Linked DNA regions of Nothobranchius furzeri. The protein of the gene in region 1 binds, or shares a complex with, the protein of each later gene. Links are inferred from orthologs where the notes say so. Each region holds a gene or a part of one and is shown on either strand. Other genes may lie near its edges.

The links. The genes of interacting proteins can lie anywhere in the genome.
Region 2: the proteins of siah1 (region 1) and usp19 are in contact, whole or in part, in a crystal structure (PDB 4X3G), measured with the Homo sapiens proteins. The link is inferred for Nothobranchius furzeri from reciprocal best matches to the Homo sapiens genes SIAH1 and USP19. Residues at the interface, in NP_003022.3 of Homo sapiens: Cys130, Pro131, Thr156, Leu158, Gln159, Asp162, Ile163, Val164, Phe165, Leu166, Ala167, Thr168, Leu172, Val176, Asp177, Trp178, Val179, Met180, Asn276; in NP_006668.1 of Homo sapiens: Lys463, Pro464, Thr465, Cys466, Met467, Val468, Pro469, Pro470, Met471.
Region 3: the proteins of siah1 (region 1) and cacybp are in contact, whole or in part, in a crystal structure (PDB 2A25), measured with the Homo sapiens proteins. The link is inferred for Nothobranchius furzeri from reciprocal best matches to the Homo sapiens genes SIAH1 and CACYBP. Residues at the interface, in NP_003022.3 of Homo sapiens: Leu158, Gln159, Asp162, Ile163, Val164, Phe165, Leu166, Ala167, Thr168, Val176, Asp177, Trp178, Val179, Met180, Asn276; in NP_055227.1 of Homo sapiens: Lys59, Pro60, Ala61, Ala62, Val63, Val64, Ala65, Pro66, Ile67.

Annotation. Positions count from the first base shown.
Region 1 is NC_091744.1:81,653,893-81,658,176, reverse strand, and holds the start of siah1 (E3 ubiquitin-protein ligase Siah1), read right to left. Parts: upstream 2,801-4,284; 5' UTR 2,571-2,800; coding exon 2,453-2,570; intron 272-2,452; coding exon 215-271; intron 1-214. UniProt on the Homo sapiens protein: E3 ubiquitin-protein ligase that mediates ubiquitination and subsequent proteasomal degradation of target proteins.
Region 2 is NC_091755.1:48,425,433-48,428,932, forward strand, and holds part of usp19 (ubiquitin carboxyl-terminal hydrolase 19), read left to right. Parts: intron 1-513; coding exon 514-703; intron 704-2,253; coding exon 2,254-2,387; intron 2,388-2,479; coding exon 2,480-2,638; intron 2,639-2,742; coding exon 2,743-2,853; intron 2,854-2,924; coding exon 2,925-3,035; intron 3,036-3,175; coding exon 3,176-3,277; intron 3,278-3,426; coding exon 3,427-3,500. UniProt on the Homo sapiens protein: Deubiquitinating enzyme that regulates the degradation of various proteins by removing ubiquitin moieties, thereby preventing their proteasomal degradation. Stabilizes RNF123, which promotes CDKN1B degradation and contributes to cell proliferation.
Region 3 is NC_091751.1:54,237,101-54,240,053, forward strand, and holds part of cacybp (calcyclin-binding protein), read left to right. Parts: intron 1-4; coding exon 5-101; intron 102-187; coding exon 188-287; intron 288-2,953. UniProt on the Homo sapiens protein: May be involved in calcium-dependent ubiquitination and subsequent proteasomal degradation of target proteins. Probably serves as a molecular bridge in ubiquitin E3 complexes. Participates in the ubiquitin-mediated degradation of beta-catenin (CTNNB1).

The DNA of each region.
Region 1 (4,284 bases):
CATGCTGACTTGGGTCACGCATGAGACGGATTACATCAATACTGGTAACTTACTGATGATCAGAACTATTTTGGGTTTTAAAAACAGAAAATCTAGCTTCCCTCACATGAATCAGCAGCCATCAGTTATAAGCACGAGAACCTGCAGCTCAGATAAATTCACAATAACTAGTTATGAGAAGAGGGGGTCACCTCCCGGAGGCTCTGCTACTCACCTTCGTCCATAAGATTTCCAAATAAGGCTTTCGTCTGATCTTGAAATGAAGGGACCTCTGAAAAGACAAAAACACACAAATGTAAAACAAACTCAACTATCTGCTCCCTTCAGTTCAAGCGCTGATCGAGTCCAGATTCAGGTTTCATCCTTGCAGCAAAAACAAGAGGAGCTGCTTTTAATCGGACAATAAAATGTAGAAATAAAGAATGTGGTTAAAACTAAAGTCAGTGTTTGGACAAGGACACTTTAAGGCCCGTGTGTGGAATCAGCTCAGCAGCTGGAGGACAGCAGAAGACTCAGAACCTCTCAGCCACTCACCTGCTGCTAATGGAGCGTCCATTACAGGGACACGTCCATAATGGGCTGTCTGGTGACGCCAGCACATTTCATTCATATTTAACAAACCCAACGCTTCATTTATCTCTTTAATTTTTAACCTTTGGAGTTTCCTTTTAAAAAAAAGCTACACTTGGTACCCTCGCACAAAAAAAAATGCATTTTGGCAAAATGTTTAATAAAAAATTATATAACATTTCAAAAGTCAAAAATCTTTAACACAGATTCTTTCCTTAGCTTCAGTCCTCACCAAACAAAGTAAAATATCTGAGTGTTTTTGAGATCTGCGATGGACTGGCTCTCTGTCCAGGGTGTACCCTGTGCCCGTTGACCGCTGGAGATAGGCACCAACACCCCCACCCCCCTGCGTGGACAAAGCAGGTTCAGAAAATGGGTGGGGGGGGGGGGTGTTTTTGAGATTTAACCCCTTTAGTGCCATGTTTTGTCAAAAAAAAAAAAAAAAACCATTATAAAAATATAAAATGCTAAATCATTTGTGTGTCATGTCCAGAGGACTTTTTGGGGGTGAATTGTGAGGGCTCTAGTCACAAATGAGCATAAAAATATTTTTGGCCACACAATCTCCAAAACATACATTACTAGAGTGTGTTATAAATCAGTGCCATGCCATTTAGAGGAAAAAAGTAAAAATAACTTCAGTCCCTGGTGGCTGCAGGAACACAGTTGGAGTGAAATTTTAAAAAATGTATGGTGATATTTAGCTTTTTTTTATGTTTGAATGGGAGTCAATGGCACAAAAAATTTCTGTGGGACAATTAAAATTGGAATCAGATTTTTTCATTCTGATTCTCCTTTGAGTTCAGTTCCGAACAGTTCATCCTCTTAAAAAGGACAAAAGAATAACCACTGAGTTTGACGTCTACTCGTCTGTCCATCCTTTTGCTTTCTTAACTCAGCGATTGTCTCCGGGATTTTATGATCATGTCATGTCAGGATTCAACAACAAACCTGACCCAAAAACACAGACAGGTAAAGGTGTGTTCACACTGGAACTTTCCCCATTTTCTACACCAACATGTGATGGGGGGGGGGGGGGATTGTTGCATCATTGTTACACCATCAGGTCTGATTCCAATCACACCTAAAGTCGCACCAATTCTTCATAAATAACAGGAAATTAACTTTGCTACTTCAGTTTAATCCACACGAGAATCAAGACTGCAGAGACGTTGGGCATCAAGTCCTTCAGACTGAGGAGACTGAAGGGAGGACGTTTACCCATAATGCACAGCAGCACGTCTAGAGAAAATCTAACAGCTGATGTCAGCTGGTGGAGGACGGCTGGTGGTTTGGGCCAGTTCTGTGGTCCACCAGAACCTCATCTGAAGTTTGGACCTAACCGGCTCATAAAACTGGACAACGACCCCAAACACAGCAGACCTACAACAGAACCAAGGTGCTGCAGCGGTCCAGTCAGAGAAGCTGTGCCAAAATGCATCTGTGCAAACTGGATCAGAACTCTTCCAGAACCGCATGAGAACCGGATCAAATAGGCCAGGATTACTGAGAGTCACTGCTGGGGAGGACGGTTCTGCAGGATCGTCTATGGTTCTGTAGATTATATTCTAGATTAATAATCATATAGTTTGAAGCCCTGATAACAAAACCGGATGTTCTATTACAGAATAAAATCATCATTTAGAGCAGAGATGAAAACAAGCGGAGCTTCAACATAATCATGACTGACTGACACACACACACACACACACACACACACACACACACAAAGCTGTCTTAAAGCGGAACAGCTGAGCAGAAGGTGAGCTCCTCCCTCCCCCACCTCTGACCACAGCTGCAACACCACATTAGATCCATGAGTGGGAAAAGGAACCGCGTAGTTCCAGATAACGGAAGCACTTCGGGGGTTGGGCTCCTTCACCTTTAGGCGTGTGGACATCCCTCGTGGCGACACACGAGAAGAGTCGGAGCAGGGAGTTCCAGGGTGGAGACGGTAGAGCTACGCTCGCTGGCTTTGATTTCACTTGGACCAAAGACATTTATGCAGCGCCCCCCCGCCACATTCCCCAGACCTTTTCCACAGAAACCACACACTGCTGCTGCCCCAAACATCGGATCATGTTTCTTCCTCCTGCCCCTCGGATATGTTGTAGTAAAGAGACGAAGGCTGGGTCCACGCAACAGGAAACAAGTCCTCCAAACCCACTAAAAATAACAGGATGGGGAGGAAAATAAGCTACGAGCATGAATAATTCCTTTATTAGGTGGGAACTGCAGCAGTCTGTCTGTCGGGTACGAGCCAAACGAAAAAACAAAGACTAGGACGATTACACAAAAGGACGTGGAACCGCCGACACAGCGTCGTTTTCCGTTTCAGTAAAAAGCTTCATCCCACCACGCTTCCTCCAACACTGGACAATAATCCATGTGTGCGTTCCACCTCCGTGGCTCCTTGGGCCAGGTTTTCAGGAACTATTTGGCACCAAACTGCAGAAGTGTGTAAAAAAAAACTCTCCTACAAAGCGCTTTTCCAAAACGCTGGTTTGCAACCAAAATGAGAGCAAGACATGGTTCCAGCAGCAAAAAACAATTCCTTCACGGCGTTACGACAGGAATAATCAGAGCCCAGTGTTTCCAGAGTCTGAAGAGGAAAAGAAGGGAAAGTCCGAAATCTCCCTCCCTCCCTCCACCGGTGTTCATGGGGTGTCGTCTCCTGTAGTGACGTAGGTGTCGCGTGTTTGTGTAAAAGAGCCCAGCAGCCATCAGATGTCAGTCCAAACACACTCTTCCCTATTTTCCCATCAGACCTGTGATTTAACGGGCCTGATTTTCCCTTCCCTCTCTGTGCCTCTCACATGGTTATGTCAGCATAAAGCCTGCATATTTCACCCCCACCCCGTGCAGTGCTGTGGTTGTGCACGGCTCAGATTTCAGCCCGTCTCGCTGCAGGCTGCACCACCAGCTGCCCTCACTGACACCAAACCTCACTTTCTCACTGCTTTTCCTTTCCTAGTTTCACTCTTCTTCTCCCTCAGCGTTCCTGCTCCGCAGGTTAAATCATTCCCATTCCAAATGTTAGTCAAACCTCCGGGAGTGTGCCCCAGTCTCCACCTTAAGATTGAACTTTAAATGTTGTGTAAAATCCCCAAACTAAACTAACCGATATGTCCCAGCAGCAGCGCTGAAGCTACAGCAGGACACCATGATGTCACCATCAGCTCAGCCGAAAACAAACACTAAAGACTATCCTCCACTGTACCCTGCTGGGTCTGCATTCATGAGAGACGGGTGGTGATTTTCCAACATTTGAAGAGTCGTTTAAATACACGGCGTCAGAACCACCAGGTTGTGGTAACATGTTCCACTAAGTTGGTTTTAATGCCAGGGATGCATTTTCAACACAACACCTGCCTCCCAAAAGTCCTTCAGTGTTTCTGAGATTGTGATTTTACTTTCAACGCCAGCGGGTAGTTACACCTGCCAGCATACCTGGTGAGCACATCTCTAAACGGATCCACCTGACAGGTGAAAATCAAAACGTCCCGTTACAACTGGGGATGCACCGATACGATACCGGTATCGGTAAAAGTTAACCGATACCAATGCAGTTGCTTGAAAATGGCTTCACTGTAACTTGTCATTTCTGTTCACCTAATATTTTAGTTTTGTTATGATTTCCATTCATATATTTTACTTTTCATCTACCTCACAGTCTTTTCCTGTTGAAAGCAGAGAAGAAAATAAAATCTGTAT
Region 2 (3,500 bases), on another chromosome or scaffold:
TATTTTCCTGATATACAGGGTTTATTTAGTTGTCTGAAAATGTAACACGTTAAAAAAAATACCGCGATAATAACGAAAACCGTGATAATTTTGGTCACAAAAACCGTGAGGTTAAATTTTCACACCGTGACAACCCTAAATGTGAGTATGCAGGAAGATCATTTTGTTTGGATAAGCTGAGGATGAGAGTTGGGATCCGTGTGCGTGAGTCTTCCAGGAAAGTCCACTTTCACCACAAAAACCTCTAAAACCTTAAGACTTCTTCCAGAATATGAGTGAAAACATTTAGAGAGAAGAGAAAAAAGATGTCTGCACTTTTATTTCTGTCGGACAGTCAGTTACACCACCGAGTATGCTGCAACAAAACAGACCCCACTAGTGCAACCGTCTGATTTTCTCAGACTGCCGTAGAAAATAATCTGTCCTCTTCAGTTTGGCTCGTCTGTCACAGATCCTCTCCTCTCTAAAAACACAGATGCCTCCTTTAACGTGTGTTTGCTTGTGTTCCTGCAGCCCAAGCCTACCTGCATGGTGCAGCCTATGACCCATGCACCTCCTGCCGCGGAGCGCCACGAGGAAGAGGAGGAGAAGAAGGTGTGCCTGCCTGGCTTTACAGGATTGGTCAACCTCGGTAACACCTGCTTCATGAACAGTGTCATCCAGTCCCTGTCCAATACCAGAGAACTCCGGGATTACTTCCATGGTAAAATACTGTTGACCCCTTTTAATCAGCGACAAATATGTTTATTTAGTTATCGTTCCATGACACAAAATGTCATTTATCATTCCATTTAGTTTGATTGCTTCAACAGGTTTAATTCTAGCAGAAGTTAGGTTAGATGTTCGGTCCAGTAGGAAACGGATTAAAGAGACAGCAGTTTGACTAATTCATCTTAAACAGGATCAAAGGGTATTACTGTTATTGAAGCATAAATGATTTCGTTAACCAGTAGGGCTGGGGGTAAACGATTAATCTGACGATTATTTTATCGAATAGTCGACTATTCTAATGACTATTTAGACGATTAATCTAGCGATTATTTTTCTATTGCACAATTAATAAAAAACAGAAAATCTCAAATAAATTCCTCAAAAAATTGATAAATTGTAAGAGAATAAATACTACAGGCCTTCTATTTTGTATAACACTGCTTTTATTGTGTTGGTTGGTTATGTTCTGGTGACATGTAGAACTTGGGAGTGCAGGCTGCTGCCTGAGAGGTGGTAGAAGATGGAGTGTCTCCATGCTGCTTTGATTTGGTCACTTATGTGTGTGAGGTGAGTGGTGTTACGACCCTTCCTGGGGAGTTTGGCTCGTGTGCAAAAAGGAAGGGACAATAACGGGATTTAAAAGTTAAAATGATGATCAGGTTTATTTATAACTACAAAAAAACAAATCTTTCCATCCACAGGTTGGGAATAATAAAACTAATTCTGCCTGTGGGGAATTAAAACAAAGTACAAATAACCTGGGATGTCTCACTGGGCAAAGATTACTGGGTTCTGGACCAAAATAAGGATCTCCAAAGGTCCAACTCTAAACTGGGCGGTTAAACCAAACTCAAGGTGATATTTTACACTAAACCGAAAACCCACGACACTAAATGTAATAAAAGGGAGATCTGCACCACAAAAAAGATGACCTCTAAACCAAAACGTAACAGCTTATCCAAACGCAAGAAGCTGTTAGCCAAAATGCTAACAGTAGCTTTACCAACGTTAAGTTCAAGTTACCAAGTTTAATTAAACTAAAAACACCCAGCAGCAAACAGACCAGCACGAAGGAGAGACTGCTACCACAAAAACAGCTCTCCTAATGTCTGAAAGAAGCTCCTTTATGAAGGGAGAAACGCTCCCGGTGATTTTCTACATCTGCGGTAGAGACGGAGCAGCGCATCTGACCCCGGAAGTTGTTGTCCGTTGCCGGGAGACGAAGGCGGGCAAAACAGGAAAGGAATCTAGTAGTGGACGGACTTTGTTCCGGGTATTCGGTATTTGGTGGAGATGTTAGTGAAGGCGGAGAAGAGAGCGAACTAGAGGAAAAACGGGCAGATTCCTCCTCCATTTACAAACTCCTGGGGATGCAACAAGTGGGCGTGGTGCGTCGACTACCAGATCTGACGTCGACAAATTTTTAGAATCGAGCCGTCGACGTCATCGACGCTTCGCTACAGCCCTATTAACCAGGTCCTGTCGTACGTCTTTACATCCCGGTTGGACGGTGTTCTGAGCTGTGTTGCTGCTTTCCTGCAGACCGAGCGTTTGAAGCAGAAATCAACTGCAGCAACCCTCTGGGAACAGGAGGAAGACTCGCCATCGGCTTTGCTGTGCTGCTCAGGGCTCTTTGGAAAGGGACGCACCACGCCTTTCAACCGTCAAAGCTCAAGGTCTTAGATCGGCTCCTCCAAACAAACGTGTGTTTGCAGGATGTTGTGTTTAACGTCCCCGTTTGTCTCTGCTTGCCTTTGGAACCACGTAGGCGATCGTCGCCAGTAAAGCCAGTCAGTTCACTGGTTACGCTCAACACGACGCGCAGGAGTTCATGGCGTTCCTGTTGGACGGACTCCACGAGGACTTGAACCGCATCCAGACTAAACCGTACACGGAGACGGTGGACTCTGATGGACGACTCGATGAGGCGAGTCGGCTTCTCTTGAAACAGCTGAACTTTACTGAAAACTTTTACTTTGAAAGGACGGACTGGTGTGCACTGCTCTGAGGATTTGTTTTGGGATGCTGCAGGTGGTGGCAGAGGAGGCGTGGCAGAGGCACAAGATGAGGAACGACTCCTTCATCGTGGACCTCTTCCAAGGCCAGTTTAAGTCTAAACTCGTGTGCCCCATGTGCTCTAAGGTAGCAGATGACTCCTCTGAAGATCTTCACTAACGTTTTGCTCCTGTTAAGCTCACCGGGCTCTTTTTCAGGTCTCCATCACCTTCGATCCGTTCCTGTACCTCCCGGTCCCGTTGCCCCAGAAACAAAAGGTCCTCTCTGTTTTTTACTTTGCTAAGGAGCCACATAAAAAACCAGTTAAGGTAAGCGTTTCCCTCGCCGTTCCGGAATGTGTGTCTGTGTTGCGTAATAAACACCGTCCGTAACCGACTCCCAGACCGCTAAGCTAACATTTCTAGTAATAATGAAATAAATGTTAGTTTATTTAAATGTTTGTCTTCAGTTTTTGGTGAGTGTGAGTAAGGAGAACTCCAGCACAGAGGAAGTCCTCGAGTCCATCTCCAGGAGTGTGAGGGTCAAACCTGAGAACCTCAGACTGGCAGAGGTGAAAATCTAGAATATCAGGGATCTTATTCTCTGAAATCTCTTAATTTGGCAGGTTGCGATTAAAACAAACCAATGAAAACTATTTATTTTCTGTTTTTTCTGAGGACGTTTTCATATGAATGACGTTTTTTTTCTCCCGTCTGACAGATTGTAAAAAACCGTTTTCAGCGCTCGTTTCTGCCGTCGCACTCGCTGGACACCGTGTCCGCCTCTGACACGCT
Region 3 (2,953 bases), on another chromosome or scaffold:
ACAGCATGGGATCAGTCTGACAAATTTGTCAAAATTTACCTGAATTTGAAAGAAGTGCAGAAAATACCTTCAGAAAATGTGGAGGTGAACTTCACAGAAAGGTAAACTTGTGAGTAACAAATAACGTTTGCTGTGCTTGTTCATCATATGAAATATTTTTTTTAAAATCACATGTTGTCTCTTGCAGATCGTTTTCGGTGCTGGTCAAGGATCTAGATGGCAAAAACCATCAGATGACTGTTCTCAACCTGTTGCATCCAATCAGTGTGCAGGACAGCTATAAAAAGGTGAATAAAGCTTTTCTACATTAAAAAGCAGCTGTACGTTACATTTGGCTCAATTTTTTATGAACAGCTATCTACGAAGTTATTTTCATCACTACCCTCCTGACACTGTCTTCCCTTTTTTACCCATTCCAGATGATCAGGTGCATTTATTATTTCACTCTTCACGCAATTTTATGTAAGGAGTTCAAAATACATCCAAAATGCACATGTTTTATTGTTTATGAAATGACAGCAAATTAAATCACTATTTTTATTGCCCCATGGCTAAGTTTTTATTGCGTAGTGGTGCAGTTGTTAGCACTGTTGCCTCGCAACGAAAAGGTTGCAAGTTTGAAACTCGGCTGCTGCGTTTCTGCGTGGAGTTGCATGTTTTCCCCATGCATGCGTGGGTTTCCCCCACAGATCACAACATGCCCTGTAGATTTAAAATTGTACGTCGCTTTGGATAAAAGCATCTGCCAAGTAAATAATTAAACATAAACATTATTTTTCTTGTTTCAATAGTTCTGGTTCTTGGCAAGACAATAAGTTTAAATTGAGTCAGTGGGAGGAAACTATAAAAAAAATAAATGATTTTTAAACACAAAATGTTGTTTTAGCTCCAATTTGTAGAAATATTTGACTCCTTAGTGCCACGCAGTTCAGACTAGGGCCCTGTCCACATGTAGCCGGGGATCTGCCAAAACGTAGATATTTTTCTACGTTTTGGCCTGTCATCCACACGAAAACTGAGTTTTTTCACACAAAAACGGATCTTTTTAAAAACTCCGGCCAAAGTGAAGTTCTGCGTTTTCTCCGTTTTGGGTGTCTGCGTGTGGACAGACAAAACCAGAGTTTTAAGGTCCGCAACGTCACTGTCCGCGACAAAAAAAATGCTGACATCACGTGTGCGACCTGTGTTTACACTAGCCGACAGCATGGATGCCCTCAGAGCTGCGCTCGCTTTATCAGTTGTCCAAGCGCTTTTTGCTTGTTTGTTTTTGCAAGCGGAATTACTGCTCCTTGCGGAAGACCACAGACGACGGACGAGGTTAAGAACAGGGGAAGTACTGCCGCCTACAGGTCTGGCATGTCCTTAACAACGTATTTATCCGGGTATGTGTGGACAGAGGTTTTTTTTAAAACGAGGTGGTGTGGATGCAAGTTTTTGGAGGGACGGATATTCGTTTATAAAAATAAACGGCTACGTGTGGACTAGGCTTAAGTGTTGCAGCTACAGTAGCCCACACATATCAAAAAGGCAATTAGATGAGAATCGGAGAAAGGAGGGGGGATTTGCCTTGTTCACAAACGATCTTTGTTCTAGTGTGTTAGTCACATGTTGTCATTTGACCAGTCACAGTTGAAGAGACAGCACGCAGACACAGAACGGCGCTCACAGCGAGTATGAGTGCTGTCGCTTTAACTTCTCAGAGCGATTTTGGGCTTGAAAGTTCTTGGGGGGGGGGGGGGGGGGGTTACGTTGAGTGTGGTGTAAACACCATCAGTATTTAACCCCGTTAAAACCTAATGTTAGCAACATAAATACTTTTTCTGGTGAGAAATGGCCACCAGTATGCTACAGCCTTACTCGTTTAAAATAAATCCCAATATATTGATCTGGGCACCAGAAGATTCAGGGATGCTGGAGGAGAAACACGTGATGAGATAATTTCATAATATTGTAACATTCCTGCTGCATTAAAGAGTCAGAACAGCATTTTGCCCTTAGCACTGGTTTACTAAAGTAGGCAAGCAAACAGCTGAGATAAAGTTGCATTTACCTGCAGCTCCAGCTCTTCCTAAACATTAGGGCTGCACAATATATCACAAATATATCGTTATCGTGATATCAGCATGCACAATATGCATATCGCAAAGAACAGCTAAATATCACAGTGAATGGTCAGCCCAAATGTTTGCTACACATAATGCATTCTGTCAAACGGCGAAAGCATGATGTTTTTTTTTAACAAATCAAATAGAGCTCTTCATCCATTTGGCCAATTGGGTGGGTTCTCTTAGGTTAGAGTCCCGTCCTTGAGGCGGACGGCACTTAATTTTGATGATTAGCAAACACCTGAGTTAGCTTTGTTCTGCTCTTTTTGCTGATTCTGCTTTTCTTGGGATCCACTGATCGCCTTTTCTTGTTCATTTTCCCTTTCCTCACATCTTTAGCTTTTCTCATTTTTTAAATTTTTTTAAATTTCTTTGTTTTTGATTATTTTTGTTCCTGAGTTAATTTTTTAATTATCGCAAGTAATATCGTCATCGCAATATTAATCATTGTTATCGAATATCTCATGTTTTCCCAATATCGCGCAGCCCTACTAAACATTTAATCACAACCAACTCATCAGAGCATTAGCACTCATGACTCATAACAATAACCTCTTAAGGATGATTACAGTGTTCTGGAATATTTTCTGATGTTTTCATGTTTGGTGGTCTGAGTGTGAAGTAGTCCTATTATAATACTTCTTAATAAATATGTGATGTTTTTTTCTGAGCAGAGAGACTGTCCCTAATCCACTTTCATGTCCAAATGCAAACATGGAGCAGTATTAGTACAGTATTTTAAGATGGCGTATGGTTATTGACCCTTTGCACCGACGTCACCTAATCACGTGTGTCCACCATGGTGGACGGCAAAAGCATGTAAACAGTGAGCAACGCGATTACTAAAC